Oryctolagus cuniculus: one gene and its partners. The protein of the gene in region 1 purifies or fractionates together with the protein of each later gene. This does not show direct contact. Links are inferred from orthologs where the notes say so. Each region holds a gene or a part of one and is shown on either strand. Other genes may lie near its edges. The genes, in order: PALS1, AMOTL2 and PATJ.

Region 1 (3,648 bases):
ATTTGTGTATCAGAACTTTTAAGAAATAAATTTGTGAAAAGAGTGATGTGAGAAACAAAAGTGATTTCCTTAGGACTATAAAGAATGGACCACAGGGCTGATGTGATATGCCAGGTTAAGCCACTACTTACAGTGAAGCTGCACTTCTAGTCAGCTTCTTGTTTAATGCACCTGAAAAAGCATGGAAAATGGCCGAAATGGCCCAATGATCACCTGTGTGGAGGACCCAGATGGAATTTGAGGCTCCTGGCCTCAGCCTGGGGAAAGGAACCAGCAGATAAAAGATTCATTTTTCTCTCTCTCTCACTCTTTCAAATAAAATAAATTGCTAAAAAATACAAAATTTAGATATTAAAGATTTTTTTATTATTTATTATTTATTATTATGGAAAGCTAGACTAAAAAATGATCTATGAACAGTTTAATAAGAGTAGATACACTTAAATTAATTGGGGCAAGCATTTGGCACAGCAGTTAACATGTTGCTTGAGATACCCACCTCCCATATAAAGTCCCAGCTTGACTTCTGATTCCAGCTAATGTGCACCCTGGGAGGCAGCAGACAGTAGTGACTCAAGTACTTGGGACCCTGCCACCCATGTGGAAAACAAGGATTGAATTCCTGGTTCCTGGTTTTGGCCTGGGCCAGCCCAGATGGTTGGGGCATTTGGGGAGTGAACCAGCACATGGAAGAGGGGTGTGTGTGTGTGTGTGTGTGTGTGTATCTTTACCTTTCAAATAAAATGAAAAAAAATTTTGAAAAACTTGTTAAACAATTTGAATTATTTAAAATATGTACTTTGTTCAAGAAAACATGCCATATTTATTAATTCATTTGATTGCTCAACAGGAAAACTATGGTGTGCAAAGAAAAATAAAAAGAAAAGGAAAAAGGTTTTATATAATGCCAATAAAAATGATGGTAAGTTCTACTCTCAGGTGGTGGAATTTATATCTGAAGGGGTCTGAATCTAATAATACGTGAACTGATATTTTCATGAAGTTTTATTTCTAGTCCCATTTTGCCTATTAATGGAATATGTGCTTGAGAAAATTTTTCAGTAGGAATTTTCTTTTGGAGTCCCGTGAGTAATGCAGTGTATAATTGGGGGAAAATGGTATAAACATTAGAGTACTATGTAGTATATGTGTATGTGGTATAAAATTGATGGTTTCCATTTTTTTATTATTTAAACCTGTAAAATTAACACTTGCTTCTAACAAGTTCTTTAAAAACAGATGTATTTGAAGTAAAACATAACTCACGTTACAGAGCCAATCCATTCCACAGAGCCCACTAACTGAGTGAGGCACACTCTTTAATTGACTATTAAGATTAAAAAGATTTAAAGTCATTGCTGCCCTTAAAATCAAAAGCTCTGATGACCCTGGGCTTGTATTCCCAATGACAAGTCCCCTGGACCTGACAGATGGCTATTGCCCTACCATTGGGCACCTTTTATTTAGTCAAATAGTTTCCACCACTCCCAGTTTCTTATACACTAATGAAGATAAAATGTTTACGGATGGTTGAGATATTCCACACAAAGCTAAATCTGAGATTTGAGCCACTTTAATAAGCAGCATATTTAATTCCCTTCTCAGCACATGTTTCTCTCAAAAATACCAGGTTTCTTCCAATATTTATAATATTTATAATGTGGTAACATTTTGATTTACAAATTTGGTTTGTGTATCTGTAGCTTTGCCAGTGCTCTGCACAGAACCTGTGAACAGTTGCTTTGAACACTTATTCTGGGCCAGGCTCTGCTGAGCGCTGACAAACCTAAGATGGGTCTCTGCCCTTGTGGAATCTAGTGCTGACTGGGTCTCATACATGAGGCTGCTGCGTCCCAGTCAGGTGAAGTAATAGGAGTGAGGGCAAGGCAGACTGCTGGTTGTCTGCTTTTTTTCTTGCCACTTAACAGCTCTGATTTCATCTGGATAATGGGCTTTAGGAATGTTACCCCACCCATCATGACTCTAGGATAGTGTTCCAAAATAAAGTAAATATAAATGCAGAAAGTATGAATAGCATGAGTATGACCTGTTAACAAGTTACACAACTACAGGAAAGTTTTCCAGCTTCTCTGATAGCTGGTTATAGCAGTGTGTAAATACCTGTGTCAGCTGTTGTGCTCAGCATGTACATTCTGTCTGATCCTTGAAACTATCCTCTTGAGTAGAAGTATCTGCATTGTACAAAAATGACATAATTTTTCTCATTAATTTATATAAGGGTCAATACAACTTTTTTAGCCATTCAAACAATATGAAACAAGATAAGCTGTAAAAAAATTCTCAAAAGATTAGTAGTATATTGTTAGATTCATTTTCTTAGTGTCCTGGCAAAGCTATAAGGACATGGGAAAATGCTCATGATATAGTACTACCATCTACTACCATCTTGATCCAAAAAGTTAAGTATTTTAATGATAATAAAGTGTCCATAATTGGGGGTAGGGTGAGGAGGGACAGATCTGTATATCATTATATGGCAGTAATCTAATTTGTCTGAAGAGCTAACTTTTTCTTTTCCAAAGATTATGACAATGAGGAGATCTTAACTTATGAGGAAATGTCACTTTACCATCAGCCAGCAAATAGGAAAAGACCTATCATTCTAATCGGTCCACAGAACTGTGGCCAGAATGAATTGCGTCAGAGGCTCATGAACAAAGAAAAGGACCGCTTTGCATCTGCAGTTCCTCGTAAGTTTGGATGCGCTCCCATTTTCCTGTCTACTCAATTTACCTGCACCCTCGGAACGTAACTGTGAAGGGAGATATTTCATCAAGGTTGTCAATGAAAGAGGATGTTTGTTTAACCAGATGTTTGACAATTTTTTAAAGATAGTTGTTCTTGAAAAAGACCTGGAAGAAGCTCTTGGCTCCTGGCTTCAGCCTGGCCCAGCTCACGCTGTTGCGGCCATTTGGGAGTGAACCAGCAGACAGGAAATCTTTGCCTCTCTTTGTCTATAACTCTGCCTCTCAAATATTTGTATATGTATATATGCTTTTTAAAGTGGAAGCATAAAACATATTAAGATAATTAGGGGAGAGTGATTGCCATAGAAGTTAAGGTGCCTTAGATACTCATCCTATGTCAAAGTCCCTGAGTTCAAGTTCTGGCTTTAATCCTGATTCTTCTTTTCTGCTAACGTGCAGAACCTGAGAGGCAGCAAGTGATGGTCAAGTAGCTGAAGTACCACATGGGAAACCTGGATTGACTTCCTGGCTCCAGGGCTTTTAGGGAGTGAACCAGCTAGCTGATGGGAGCTCTGTCAGTCTTTGCCTCTCTAATTAATTAATTTTTAAAAATGGAGGGCTGGTGTTGTGGCATAGCAGGTTAAGCCTCCGCCTGTGATGCTGGCATCTCAAATGGAGGTAGGTTCACGACCCAGCTGCCCCACTGTCGATTCAGCTCCCTGCTGACGTGCCTGTGAAAACAGTGGAGGATGACCCAAGTGCTTGGGCCCCTAGACTCCTATGGGAGACCTAGAAGTAGCTTTAGGATCCTAGCTTCGGCCTGGCCCAGCACTGGCTGTTGGGGCCATTTGGGGAGTGAACCAGTGGATGGAAGACCTCTTTCTTTTTCTCTTTGTCTCTCCTCCTCTCTGTAATTCTACCTTTCAAATAAATAAAAAAT
Region 2 (3,648 bases), on another chromosome or scaffold:
AAAGAGCCCATTCAGGGCCCCTGCACACGCGCACCCTGGGCCTGCACCCCCCCTCCCGCAGACACCTCCCACAGAGAGCCCTTTGTGTCCCCCACACAACAGCCTGTCTGTTCCAAGCCAGCCCTGGCCAAAGAGAAAAACCCCTCCTCGTGGAAAAAAAAAAAATTGAGCGACTTGTTAGGCAGCAGGCTGGCCAGGAGCACGTGCGGGAGCTGCCTGCGGCCAAGTGGGAGGGACAGCTTATGGGTTGGAGGGGGGCGGGGCTGGCTCTCTGCGCTCAGCCCCGTGCTGGGGTCCCTTCCTTGGTGAAAAGTGACCAGTGGTATGCAGATGGCCTCAGGCCTCGATGAGTGGCCTGTTAGTGGCAGATAGGTCAAAGCACCTGAACATGGCAGAAGTCTGTGCCCACTGCTGGCCCGCATGCTCGGCCTTCCCGACAGAAACCAGCAGGAGTAAAATGCTTCTTTCTGAATGGTGAGCATAGCAAAGTTTGTGTTTGGTCACTCTGGGTCCCGGAGTCCTGGCCCTGGGGTCACTCAGCATCTGGTCCTTAGGACAGCCGAGCTGAGGTGCCCAGCAGTCCCAGTGCACCGTGGAGGCCAGCAGCTTCTGACCTTCCCACGGTAGCCCCCTGGAGCTTTGGCTCCCGTCCCCTTCTGTGATGGAGAGCAGCGACTGGCCGGGGTCGCGCCCTTGGCGCTCTCACTTCCCTTCAGCTCTGCTGTCTACCTCTCGTAGCTGGAAAGCGAGATCCAGCGGCTGTCCGAGGCCCACGAGAGCCTGACCAGGGCCTCCTCCAAGCGGGAGGCCCTGGAGAAGACCATGCGGAACAAGATGGACAGCGAAATGAGGAGGCTGCAGGACTTCAACCGGGACCTCAGAGGTGACAGCCAGTTGGGGAGCACCTGTGGAGGGCTTGGTTCATGTTCCCTGGGGGGAAAAATATCAGTGCACCTCGACTCGGAGGAGCCCAGGTCTCGTAGACAGAGGCTTGTCTGTTCTGTACCTTGGGGTCCCTCATGGAGCTCCGACCGCGTGGCCCAGGTCGCTCATCGGGCCCTGAGTGGAACCAGGGGCATCCCAATGAGCTCAGCCCTAGCTTAGACGATGCAGACCCCAGGGAAAACACCGACAAGCAGCTCCCTGTGACTAAAACATCTCTCCTTCGTTGCAAACAGAGAGGCTGGAATCTGCAAACCGCCGTCTGGCGAGCAGGACCCAGGAGGCCCAGGCCGGCAGTCAGGACATGGTGGCCAAGCTGCTTGCTCAGAGTAAGTAAGGGTCCCGCAAAGAGGAAGCCGGGTCGACTTGCAGGCAGTGGCAGCACCGCTGCTGCTCGCGGCAGTGCTGGGGGTGCTGTTTACCAAATGGTACCCACCTGCAGGCCCGGGACTGCATGTGTAGGGGGTTGGGCTGGCTTTCGAGGAAGACAAAGATCAGGTTCTATATTTATTGGGAAGGTGAACAGAGCTGGGGGACAGTGTTTGTGAGAGCTGTGTTGGTCAGCAACAGAGGGGCACCGGGCAGAGGGAGGCGGACAGCCCTGCAGGAGGAAGCTGAGAGTTGGCCAGGGAATTTCAGGTAACAGTAAGTGTGCAGGGAAGGGAGGAGCCTGTGGACCACGAGGCGGCCAGGTGGGGGCACCTGAGACAGTCCAGGTGCTTCACCAACAGGTGCAGTCTGAAGAAGAGCTTCTAGAGGCTTCTCAGAAGGGGAAGTCCAGCACCCCCTGCAAGGCAGATGAGCTCAGTAACTAGTCCCTTCATTCATTCAGTCATTCCTCCATGTGTTCGCTTGCAGATCTGTGCCAAGCACCAGGCAAGTGTTTAGCAGAGGAGTGGGAGCAGCCCCAGGAAGTGGCTGGGAGGTTCAGGGGAGACTGGTGGGCTGTGGAGGGAGCAGGTTCCCAAGGCCTGAAGGGAACAAGAACGCTGATGGGCGGGTGCTGATGAGGGAGTCCCCAGTGGCCTGAGAGCAGCCCTGGTGATGGGCATGGTGAACTGGCCACAAGTGAGGAGGCATTGGGTGCAATGCGGATGGCCCAGCTCGTGGGAAGTTCCAGGGTTTGAGGACAGAGTGGGCTGGCAATGGCTGCTGTCCACCAGGAGAGCTGCTATGTGTGGCACAGACCACAGGGGTCATGTCCAGTGGATAAGCAGCCCGAGAATGGAGCTCTGGACAGGGCCCTCAGAGAGGGTTTCAAGCCCAAAGCAGGGAACGGGACAGGGGAACAGCGCTGAAGCCACTGGGCAGGACAGTGCTGGATGAGGGTGGGCTGGGGCGGCCATGGCTGTGGGGGACTCTGGCAGGGGGACCCCTGGGAGGTTGAGGGGGAGGGAAGGGGCCTAGGAGTCTGGAGAGGTCTGGCTGCTGGGGGAGCTGAGGACTTTGGGGGGCCTGGCCCTGCAGCAGAAAGGAAGTCCTGGGGCGGGTTTCTGGGCGGCTGCTTGGGGAGGGAGGGGGAGCCATCCAGCCGGCCTGGGAGGCGTTTCCGCTCCCTGGGGAGCGAGCCAGCCAGAGCCGGGCTGTTCTTGGCTCCTGGCTGGAGCCATTAATCTGGCAGCTGTGGGTGACCCGGATGCCTGGCATTCCAGAGCCGGCTGTTCCGCTCCCAGCCGCTCCCCCCGCTGCTGCGGCCTGGCGCCCTGCTCTATGCCGCTGCCCAGGCTTTGGGAGGGGACAGGGCGACACAAGGGAGGCTGGGACGCTGGGCAGGGGGGCCTGTGGGCCCTTCTCCCCCTCGCAGGAACCGCACCCCACTGCTAGGCCCTGGCTGCTCTGTCAGGGTCCCGCTGGCTGGGGATGACCAAGGCCCGAGCCTCCCAGCCCCCAGCAGAGCCTTAGAGGTTGTACAGGGCAGCCCTAAGCAGCCATTCCTTGCTGCAGGAGCCACCCCGGAGGGCTGCAGAATTCTCAGTGCAGATGTCTCTGGTCAGCCTCTTTTTTTTTTTTTTTTTTTTCAAAGATCCTGAGCAAGCCAAGAGCTGGCCTGGGTTGGCTCCTGCCCCAGTCCCCTGAGTCAATGCATCCTCTCTTCCACACGCCAGGGATCCAAGCCATCAGCCTCCCATCCCAGAACTCATCGTCCTAGGCAGGCCCTTGGCCACACGTGGCCCGAAAGCTCAAACTAAGGAGAACCAAGTCCAATCAAAGCTTCAGAGGGTTCCTCCTACCTCCTAGGGTTGCTGTGAGGATGAGAAGCAATTGTGCTCATCCAGTCGGGGAGGTCGCCATCACTGACCCGGCCACGTCTCCCTGCAGGCTACGAGCAGCAGCAGGAGCAGGAGAAGGTGGAGCGGGAGACAGCGCTGCTGCGCAGCGCCGTTGAGGACCAGCGGCGGCGCGCGGAGCTGCTGGAGCAGGCCCTGAGCAACGCGCAGGCGCGGGCGGCCCGCGCCGAGGAGGAGCTGCGCAAGAAGCAGGCATACGTGGAGAAGGTGGAGCGGCTGCAGCAGGCGCTCGGGCAGCTGCAGGCGGCCTGCGAGAAGCGCGAGCAGCTGGAGCTGCGGCTGCGCACGCGCCTGGAGCAGGAACTCAAGGTGTTGCGCGCACAGCAGGTGAGCGGACGCCTGCATGCAGGTAGCAGAGCAAGGGCGGGCATCCGAGGATGCCGGATGCCGGGGTGTGGTGTTCCGGGCCTGGTTCCTG
Region 3 (3,648 bases), on another chromosome or scaffold:
TGAGAGTGAGGCTGTCAAATGCAGTAGGCAAAGTGGGGCTCACTGGCACCCACCTCACTCCCTGCTCCTCTCTCTCTCTCTCCCCTGTGAAGTTCACAGTTACATGAAACCACCATTATCAGGTGTGCCAGCCCTCCCTCCCGCCCCCTGCTCTGTGTCAGAAGCAGCTCCCGCTGCCAGTGCGCCCTACCTCTTTAGCTTCAGGAGGGACCAAAGGTTTCTGGAGGTTTTCACGGGTTGGATCAGTGAGCTCCAGCCAACCCAGCAGGCAGAAAGGCCCCTGCTGCCCACCACCCATTTCAGGATGCCCTTGTTCCAGGTCAACGGGGTGGACCTGAGGAGCTGCAGCCACGAAGAAGCCATCACGGCCCTGAGGCAGACCCCGCAGAAGGTGCGGCTGGTGGTGTACAGGGATGAGGCGCACTACAGGGACGAAGAGAACTTAGATATCTTCCCCGTGGACCTGCAGAAGAAGGCCGGCCGCGGCCTGGGCCTGAGCATCGTGGGGAAACGGTGAGGACGCGCTGCGTGAGTCACGACTGGCCCTTTCCTTCAGAGAGGTGAAGCTGAGTGTAAACCAGGGGCATGATTTCCAAAGCCGTTGTGAATATTTGAGCAACATAGGTCGTATTTCTGAGCAGTGCGGTATCAAACAAACAAACCTGTCGTTTCCTTATAAAGCTCCATGCCCAGTCAACCTAGCCTGTTACATTTCCTTATAGGTTCTTTCAACTTGGAATTACCTCGATCTGTGGCTTACATACCCAAGATAGCACGGGTTGGCCTGCACAATGTTTTTTTCTTTCTTTTTTGACAGGCAGAGTTAGACAGTGAGACAGACAGAGAGAAAGGTCTTCCTTCCGTTGGTTCACTCCCCAAATGGCCGCCACAGCCGGCACACTGTGCCCACCCAAAGCCAGAAGCCAGGTGCCTCCTCCTGGTCTCCCATGAGGGTGCAGGGCCCAAGCACCTGGGCCATCCTCCACTGCCTTCCTGGGCCACAGCAGAGAGCTGGACTGGAAGAGGAGTAGCCCGGACAGAATCTGGCACCCCAACCAGGACTAGAACCCAGAGTGCCAGCGCCGCAGGCGGAGGATTAGCCTAGTGAGCCGCAGTGCCAGCCGCCCTGCACAATGTTTGATTAAGAAAATTTGCTTCCAAGGGCAGGCATTGGGTGCCCGCATCCCACATGGCAATGCGTGGTTCTAGGCTCAGCTCCACTTCTGATTCTGGCTTCCTGCTAATGTGTACCCTTGGAAGCCCCAGTTTCTGGCACAATCTGACCCAGATTGAAAAGCTGGTTTCTGGCCTCAGCCTGGCCCAGCCGTGACTGTTGCAGGCATTTGGGGAGTGAACCAGCAGATAGAAGATCTGTCTCTCCCTGTCCTCTGTCTCTCTGCCTTTCAAATAAAATGAAAAAACAAAATTTTTCTTAATTTGAAAAGAAAAAGGAAATTGCTCTGGCGTGGAATACCATGTTAATTTTACACTATGTTAAAACACATCGAGGAAACATGGTTGAGAGACAAGTATAAATGATTCGTGACAGTTTTCTATTAGAAAATAGTTATTTGCATCAAGCAACTCTCTTTCTCTGTAACTCTGCCTTTCAAATAAATGAAATGAAGTCTTTAAAAAAAAATGAAATAGCAAAGGAGAAAAAGTGACTAGAAATAGATCACATGCTGGGAGTGAAACTAATCTTCTCTAAGAAAATAACCGATACATTTTAAGAGTACGTAACTCCACTGTTTTAAGTGAATTCCCATTTCACTCCACTAAAATGATGATCTTCAAGAAATCATGGCCTTGGGCCCATGAAAATTAATATTACAACAGGCAACATAAATAACCATAAATGATTGAACTAGTAATTCTATGGCTTTGTAGGACTCTGCTTCCACATTTTAGAATTTAGTGAACCCATATAGAAAATTAGTGATCTAAGATTTTAATTAAGAAATATTAGGTTGTGAGGCCAGCATTGTGGCACAATGGGTTAAGACACAGCCTGCAATGCCAGGATCCTCTATGGGTGCCGGTTCAAATCCTGGCTGCTCCACTTCCAATCCAGCGCCCTGCTAATATGCATGGGAAAGCAGCAGAGGATGGCCCAAGTCTTTGGGCCCCTGTACCCATGTGGGAGATCCAGATGAAGCTTCTGGCTCCTGGCTTCCTCTTGGCCCAGCCCCACTCATTGCAGCCGCTGGGGGATAAACCAGCAGATGGAGGCTTGCTCGCTCGCTCTCTCTCTCTCTGCCCCCCCATTCTCCTCCTCCTTCCTCTCTCTCCCCCTATAACTCTGCCTTTAAAATAAATAAATGTTTACAAAAGAAATATTAGGCTGTGCCAACACGCCATTGCTTTATGGTATTAACAGAAACGGAAGCGGAGTGTTTATTTCCGACATCGTGAAAGGAGGCGCTGCAGACCTGGATGGGAGATTGATTCAGGGAGATCAGATCTTATCTGTGAACGGGGATGACATGAGGAGCGCCTCCCAGGAGACGGTGGCCACTGTCCTCAAGGTGAGTCACACCGGTGCCGTGTGCCCAGCCAGCACCACCACAGGGTGGGGGGATCTGTTCCAGCCTAGCTTGATAACAAATGGGTTGGGCTTTATGAGACTCTAATCTGTGACAATTGTGAATGATCAGGATTAGCTTTAAAAGAAAGCTCTGTCAAATTGGCAGGGCTTTGGGATTTCTAAGGTAGTTTTGCGCACTTGTGAGAATTCCAAGTCTCCACGGTTGTCCTCTGAATATAGAATTCCTGCAGCTCCTTCTGGGGCCAGGTCAGGGAGCACGCGATCATGAGTTCATAAGATCCAGCTTTTAAGACTTGAAGGAACATTTAATATAATCCAGACCAGTTCCTCCTTGTCACACATGAAGTCTGAAAAATGACAGCCAAAGATCACAGTGCTCGCTTGAGTGATTTTCCCACCAACCAAGCTGTCTCCCTGAAATTGTAACCGTGGTAAGGTTCCAAATGCACCTCCAAGTGTGTCTGCCGTGCTTGGAAGAAACTGGTTCATAAAAATTCTTGTAAATTTCCATTCAATTCTGAGCAGGGATTTTGTATATTTCACAAACAGCCATGAAAGCTTTGCATAGACAGAGGAAATTCGTTGGGTGTAAGATTATGACCTCTTGAGAGAGCCAGCTGTTCCCGCCCAGGAGAGGAACTGTGTTTGTAGGTTACATCTGCATTTTGACTTCCTTTGTCCTCTCCTGTACTACATTTCCTTAATGATTTTGCTGTGCATGAACATTTTTTATCAGAAGGGAGAAGGAAAAAGACATGAATTGAAAGCTAATCCTTCTGACACAGATTTCTGCTGTTTTTGTGGGATTTGGGGGTGACTCCTTTTCATCTGTCGCTGTTATTACTCTGTAGTAGCTGTTGGCTGCGGAGGGAAGGGGAGGCGGTGCTGTGCTGTGTTGGGACACAAACACACCTGTTGTTCATTTCTGTTCCATTCTTGTCCTCCAAGTGTGCACAGGGGCTTGTGCAGCTAGAGATCGGAAGACTGCGAGCTGGGTCCTGGGCCGCCTCCAGGAAGACATCGCACAACAGTCAGGTTGTTGATGGCTTCCCAGCAGACTGACTCACCCTCCTGCCCCCACAGGGAGGGCTCTGCCCATT

What was found.
Region 2: the proteins of PALS1 (region 1) and AMOTL2 purify together in Homo sapiens (affinity purification with mass spectrometry; 3 studies listed by BioGRID and IntAct, counting the BioPlex papers as one, with this or other methods). This does not show direct contact. The link is inferred for Oryctolagus cuniculus from reciprocal best matches to the Homo sapiens genes PALS1 and AMOTL2.
Region 3: the proteins of PALS1 (region 1) and PATJ purify together in Homo sapiens (co-immunoprecipitation; 5 studies listed by BioGRID and IntAct, counting the BioPlex papers as one, with this or other methods). This does not show direct contact. The link is inferred for Oryctolagus cuniculus from reciprocal best matches to the Homo sapiens genes PALS1 and PATJ.

What each region holds. Positions count from the first base shown.
Region 1 is NC_091451.1:13,174,823-13,178,470, forward strand, and holds part of PALS1 (protein PALS1), read left to right. Parts: intron 1-850; coding exon 851-922; intron 923-2,543; coding exon 2,544-2,711; intron 2,712-3,648. UniProt on the Homo sapiens protein: Plays a role in tight junction biogenesis and in the establishment of cell polarity in epithelial cells.
Region 2 is NC_091435.1:147,068,672-147,072,319, forward strand, and holds part of AMOTL2 (angiomotin-like protein 2), read left to right. Parts: intron 1-738; coding exon 739-883; intron 884-1,178; coding exon 1,179-1,271; intron 1,272-1,436; exon of another isoform or gene 1,437-1,913; intron 1,914-3,173; exon of another isoform or gene 3,174-3,261; coding exon 3,262-3,557; intron 3,558-3,648. UniProt on the Homo sapiens protein: Regulates the translocation of phosphorylated SRC to peripheral cell-matrix adhesion sites. Required for proper architecture of actin filaments.
Region 3 is NC_091438.1:110,665,895-110,669,542, reverse strand, and holds part of PATJ (inaD-like protein), read left to right. Parts: intron 1-319; coding exon 320-513; intron 514-2,380; coding exon 2,381-2,528; intron 2,529-3,496; coding exon 3,497-3,583; intron 3,584-3,648.